Kluyveromyces lactis: one gene and its partner. The protein of the gene in region 2 interacts with the protein of the main gene of each other region in a pairwise test. Links are inferred from orthologs where the notes say so. Each region holds a gene or a part of one and is shown on either strand. Other genes may lie near its edges. The genes, in order: ARG1 and SHP1.

What was found.
Region 1: the proteins of SHP1 (region 2) and ARG1 interact in a two-hybrid assay, tested with the Schizosaccharomyces pombe proteins (2 studies listed by BioGRID). The link is inferred for Kluyveromyces lactis from reciprocal best matches to the Schizosaccharomyces pombe genes ubx3 and arg12.

What each region holds. Positions count from the first base shown.
Region 1 is NC_006039.1:366,149-369,463, reverse strand, and holds ARG1 (argininosuccinate synthase), read right to left. Parts: upstream 1,838-3,315; coding exon 575-1,837; downstream 1-574. Other genes in the region: KLLA0_C04059g (dipeptidyl-peptidase III), read right to left, coding at 1-133; KLLA0_C04004g (glycerol-3-phosphate dehydrogenase family protein), read right to left, coding at 3,176-3,315.
Region 2 is NC_006041.1:1,783,313-1,786,677, reverse strand, and holds SHP1 (protein phosphatase regulator SHP1), read left to right. Parts: upstream 1-1,424; coding exon 1,425-2,627; downstream 2,628-3,365. Other genes in the region: MET6 (5-methyltetrahydropteroyltriglutamate-homocysteine S-methyltransferase), read left to right, coding at 1-672; PTH2 (aminoacyl-tRNA hydrolase), read right to left, coding at 2,770-3,365. UniProt on the Schizosaccharomyces pombe protein: Involved in CDC48-dependent protein degradation through the ubiquitin/proteasome pathway. Involved in delivery of substrates to the 26S proteasome. Also required for membrane fusion and sporulation.

The DNA of each region.
Region 1 (3,315 bases), on a different chromosome or scaffold from region 2:
CAGTAATACGGGTACCGGCATGGGAAGCTTTGGACATGAAATGCGCGTAGTGCTGTTCCTTTGGAGTCAAATTTTCAAAATACTTCTTAGCAGAAAGCATCTGAATTGGTGCTCCCTTATCAGCGTAAGACATTGTTGAGAGTGATCTGGCCAGTGAGCGAAACAGTGTAGTGTAAGTATTAGGATACCTTGGTGTAAGTGCCACTCCTAAGTTCTTAATGTGAGATTAACAGATCTTTAGGGGTCACGATAAAAATTCATGTCAAGGCCATGTCGCGAAGGTTATCCTTTTCATTCACTTTTAATTACAGTCAGACTTTTTCATGTTTCGCCGGTCCAAGTGAAAAAAGCTACCAAAAACTGAAGAAAACTAAGAAGAAGGTTAATGAACAAATTGAAATAATCACCCGGGATAAAGTTTCAATGCCATTACTTGAAGTGCACGGAGTAAGTTAATTGAATAATTATTTTAAGATTAGTTATGTACACTATTAAACACGAGATTCTATTATTTATAATTTAGGGGTCTAAAGTTTAATTGAGAGTTCGTGACTGGGGAAATTGGATGATAGTTTTATAAAGTTAGTTCTTCACCCTTGGCAGCCTTGGATTCACCGTACTTTTTTACTCTGATCGCTTGAATAGCGATGAAACCGGTAGTGTCGGTTGGTTGGAAACCAGTCAATATATCCATAGAAGATTCATCAGGATTGTATAGGTTCTCAGTCTCTGAGTATCTGCCTAGCACAATGATGTTACCCTTGTATAGTCTCAATCTAACGGTACCGTTAACTGTAGATTGGGAAGGTTGGATCATAGATCTGATATATTCACATTCTGGAGTGAAGTATGAACCGTTGTACAACAATCTGGAGTAATTTGGAGTGACAAATTGATCTCTCAAGGCACGGACTTCTTTGTCCAAAGTCAAACCTTCCAAGTCAACGTGAGCTCTTCTCAAGACGGACAATGGAGCTTGTTCGTAACAACCTCTAGATTTCAAGTTGATGTAACGATTTTCAACGATATCGATTCTACCAACACCGTTAGCTCTAGCCAATTTCGCAGAAGTCAAGAAGATATCCAATGGTGAAGTAGCAGTAGTTTCTTTGCCAGAAGCGGCATCCTTGTAAGTCAACTTCACTGGCAAACCCTTTTCGAAAACGATATCCAAATCTTGTGGTTGATCTGGAGCATCTTCTGGACCAGTGATCAACTTCCACATATCGTTTGGAGGAGTTTGGTTTGGATCTTCTAGAATACCAGCTTCGTAGGAGATATGAGCCAAGTTCTCATCAGTGGACCATGGTTTAGAAGCGGTTTGGAACACAGGGATGTTCTTTTCGGCAGCATAAGCCAATAGATCTTTTCTACCAGCAAATCTGTCGAAGAAAGTTGGATCTCTCCATGGGGCAATGACCTTGACGTCTGGTTTCAATGCGTAGAAACCCAATTCGAATCTAATTTGATCGTTACCCTTACCGGTGCAACCATGAGAAACAGCGAAACAACCTTCTTGCTTAGCGACGTCGATTTGAGCCTTAGCGATAACAGGTCTAGCCAAAGAGGTACCTAACAGATAAACGTCTTCGTATACCGCGTTAACTTGAACAGCTGGGAACAAAACGTCCTTGACGAATTCTTCTCTGCAGTCAACTAGAACAAACTTGGTAGCACCAATTAGTAAAGCCTTCTTTTCAGCAGCTTCGAAATCTTCTTCTTGACCAACATTGGCCATGAAGGCAACAACTTCGTACCCTTGTTCTAACAACCAGGCCAAAATCACAGAGGTATCCAAACCACCGGAGTATGCCAAACAAACCTTACCTTTAGACATTATATTACTTTTAAAAATTCCTTGAATGCTCTTTGTATCTTTTAAAAACCACCAGATATGTGTGTGATATGTGATGTGTGATCTATACTTCAAACTGTAGTACACAATCAAATGGAGTTATAAACAAGAACTGAACAGAGTAGAACAGATTCTCACATTTTTTCACTTCTCATTTATATATCTTTTTTTCAACTGGAAAAATTTCATTCGTACTTTGATGCCCTCTCTGTGCTAGTCTCTTCACCACTCACTTATCTCTCTATGTTGTACGATCTCTACTGTGAAAAAATGACTCATATGAAATTATTACACTCTATACATTAATGGGCAGAAAATATACCGCTAATCGCGGCAAAGGCCAGATAAGCTCAGCAAAAACCCAAACAAAATGCCACTCCATAGCGTAAAACGAAGTAGCCTTTGTCAAGGGCAAAAACCTAGGCTCTGGGAATACCTGTTCTTCATAAAAGAGTGAGGAACTGCTTTGTATTTAGTTTGTGTGTAATGTATATACTTGATTGAGAAAGAAAAAACTCAAATGCTGTAAAAAACGTCAAAGTTCTTTGAATCTGAATCTATTTTAAAGGTTCTCCAGCTTAATTTGAATCATCAACATGTCCGGCACGGCTCGTACTAGATCGATGATTCAATCCACGTTTAATGGCTACAAAAACTGGTACAACTGTTGTTGTTTCTTGCACTGAAGTTGTGCCATATAACTATAGTTATTCTTCTGTTTGTTAATGGCAATTTTTCGCTGTTTGTGTTCACTAAGTGCAAGAGGAAACGAGAGTTGTTACCCGGTGATAGACAGTCACGTGATTGATGTTTTTTTTTTTTTTCCTTCTTTCTTTTCTTCCTTGATTCTCTTCCCACTTCCATCTCCTTTCATTCACCAGAATTTGCCATTCCTTGGTAAATATGGCTGAGAACTTGAAATTAGGTAACTAAGATGGAGCGAAGGAAAGAGAAATAAATTAAATTGTAAGAATCTATCTTTGTATCTTTCTTATAGTGAGTTAAGTATATGGTACAGATTACTCATTCCCACCGAAATAAATAAGGGGGACAAGTATGAATGTGAAATAGTTTATATTTATTATGTAGGAGAGGCGATTTTCTTTTGTTGACTGTTGAGAACTAGTGTACATGGATCTCTCTCTTGTTGAGGTTTTTGAATTGAAATTTAAAGTGTGTGTTGTGATGATGGATATTTTTATGTGTCTTGTCTATGACATAAAAGATTCCAAATGATAATAAATCAACAGTTTAACGGGTCCACCGTGCATGCCATTGAAATATTGATTTGATGGGAAGAAGATGGATCAGTTTCCCTGTTTAATGCTTCTTGACGTTGTAGTCGATACCTTCGAAGTCTTCGATCATGTCTGGGATTTGTTCCATAGAAGCATTACCGTAAGTGATTTGGTAGATAGCTTCGAACAATGGGAACTCAGCAGTCTTACCACAGGTAGCCA
Region 2 (3,365 bases):
TCCGTTAAGGAAGTCGTCTACGCTCAATCTATTACCCAAAGACCTGTCAAGGGTATGTTGACCGGTCCAGTCACTTGTTTGAGATGGTCTTTCCCAAGAGATGATGTTGACCAAAAGACTCAAGCTTACCAATTGGCTTTGGCCATCAGAGATGAAGTCTCTGATTTGGAAGCTGCCGGTATTAAGGTCATCCAAGTCGATGAACCAGCCGTCAGAGAAGGTTTGCCATTGAGAGCCGGTCAAGAAAGAACCGAATACTACAACTGGTCTGCTGAATCTTTCAGAGTTGCTACCTCTGTTGTTGCCAACAAGACTCAAATCCACTCTCACTTCTGTTACTCCGATTTGGACCCTAACCATATCAAGGCTTTGGATGCTGATGTCGTTTCTATCGAATTTTCCAAGAAGGACGATCCAAACTACATTCTGCAATTTGCTAACTATCCAAACCACTCTGGTCTAGGTTTGTTCGATATCCACTCTCCAAGAGTTCCATCCAAGGAAGAATTCATTCAAAAGATGGAAGAATTCTTGAAGTACTACCCAGCTGAAAAGTTCTGGGTTAACCCAGACTGTGGTTTGAAGACTAGAGGCTGGGAAGAAACCAAGGCTACCTTGACCAACATGGTTAACGCTGCTAAGCACTTCCGTGAAATCTACGCTAAGAAATAAATAGACTCGTGAGTTTGTAACAACACTCAAGCGTCTTTTTATCTATTATGCATTATTGGATTAAGGAACAGAATAAAAAATCAGCATTAACCAATAACAACTTTTATTTCATTTTAAGTGTCTTTCAATGCTTCAAGTGGTCTATTATTTCCAATGAATTGCTTATTGTAAACTGACACATAATACAAACGAAGATCTTATTTGATATAAGTTCTTCACGGATTCAACATCGGGCTTTACCTTTTACATCTTTTTTTTTTTGGTCTGTTTATTTATCCCATTTCTTCCGATCACATCACATTATTTCATAGACCTTAATGGCGAACTTCATCTTTGCTCATCATTCCAAAGATATTCAATCGTTAAAGGTCCCCAAATTATAAACTGTCATGAGTTATGTTTTTAATAATTAAATAACCTCTTGTATATTATAAACGCATTCAACATTCGTTTCAAAAAAAACATCAAACCACAACATTTCTGCTACAAACATAATATTTCCCCACAGTCTCAGTTACTATCCTGCCTAAGATGTCTGTGTTTATCATGTTACTTTCCTTTTCTTACAGATTCGTTTTAAAGGTTTTTCTATGAAAAGTAATGAACTTTCAAATTAAGACAATTTCATTTAGGTAGAGATGCCATAAGGAAAACTTGCCACTTGTCATGGCAAGATATTGCACTCCATTACGACGATACAATTACAATTGTAACACGATATAGAATCTGAGATACCACATACGATATTTACCATGTCTGACGAACAAATCCAGCAATTTGTCGCATTGACCAACACCTCAGTGAATGTCGCTTCAGATTATTTAAACCAGTTTGGTGACTTGGGAGAAGCATTGAATGCCTTCTATGCTACCCAACAGGATGAGCAAGAGCCTAAAACGAAAGCATCCTTTGAACAGCCGATTCCAAAAGCTGCTAGCCAGGGTGAATTGTCTAACTCCTCGGCGAAAGATGACGTTACATACGCAAGAACCTTGAGTGGCCAAAAGATTGCTTTACCTAGGTCAACACCTTCTCCATCGCAGAAACCCAAGTCTAAGTCTAAATTCCAATCCTTCTCTGATATATTGAAAGGAGGTGATGATGAAGATGAAGATCGGAACACTTTTGCTGGCGGTGAGACTTCAGGACTTGAAATCACCGACCCACACGCTAATGACTCTAATTCTTTAATTAGGGATCTTTTACAAAAGGCACGCAGAGGCGGTGAAAGAGCAGAACAGGAGGAAGAAGAGAATGAGGAAGCAGAAAGTAAGAAACATCATTTTGTTGGTAAAGGTTATAGGCTAGGATCCGATGTTTCTGCTCCACCAACAGTGGTTGAGGATGATACCCCGGTCGTATCAAAACCTAAAAAAGTGACAAGGGAAATTACGTTTTGGAAAGATGGATTCCAAGTCGGTGATGGCAAACTATATCGTTACGACGACCCAGAAAATAGTTTCTATTTGAAAGAACTAAACCAAGGAAGAGCTCCTTTGCAGTTATTGGACGTCGAATTCGGACAAGAGGTCGATGTCACGGTCTATAAAAAGTTGGAAGAGCCTTACGTTCCACCTAAGAGAAAAGTGAGTGGCTTCCAAGGAACAGGTAAGAGATTGGGCTCACCCATTCCTGGTGATGCAGTAAACTCTCAATCAGCATCGCCTGCCGAATCTACTCCAGTAGGGACTGAAATCAAAGAAAAATCGCCAGATGACGAGCTAAAGGGAGACACTAGTGTACAGATCAGATATGCTTCTGGGAAGAGGGAGGTGTTACGTTGTAACTCTACAGATACCATCAGATTCTTGTACCAGCATGTTAAAGCTAACACAGCAGAAATGCGCCCATTTACACTAAGCCATGCATTTCCCGTAAAACCCATTGACGAATTTGACTCCACTTTGAAAGATCAAGACCTATGCAATGCAGTGGTGGTCCAAAGATGGGTATAAATCTTAAATATAGTATAATTTTACAAAGATTATTACATATGTACAAGTTTAAATATACGGAGACAACCTAAATCCTTATATTTTCAGGATAGAGTTGTTTATGCAGTCGATGATTATTCCAACGATTTGAGAGATCGAAGTATCAGTAAAGCTTGAGATCACCAGTAATTTGGTCAAGGACTGCTTTCGGAGCAGGTCCCAAACCTAAAACAGTAGCACTTCCCGCTGCAATTTGTGTTCTACCAGCATCATGAACAACGTATGAGTTAACTCCTAATGCAATAGCCTTAGCGAAGAGCTCATCCATTGTTTCCTTATCTGGACATTTTAAAGTAATCTTTGCTTGACCTCTTGCCAACCATCTGTGAGTCATCTCCGGATTATATGAAGTTCTACTTGGATCACACGCAATAAGCCTAAAACAGGCTAATGCAGCATGACAACATTGAGCAGCGATTTTCCCTTTAGTCATTCCCAAATCTTGCCTGATAACCAAGGCCATCCTTACTTCACCAGGAATGTCATTTAGGCATATGGAATCTACTGCAATGCCATCTTCATCTTCATCTTCATCCTCAGATTCGTCTTCATCCTCGTCCTCATCACCATCGTCATGTTCACTGGCATACGCTTGCTCATCTCGCTCAGCCTTAATCTTCGCTTGTTTCAACAATTCTTGTATCTCATCCTTCCTTGATGGTGTTATCTGTCCAAGATAATATCCAGTTGTCAGAGATA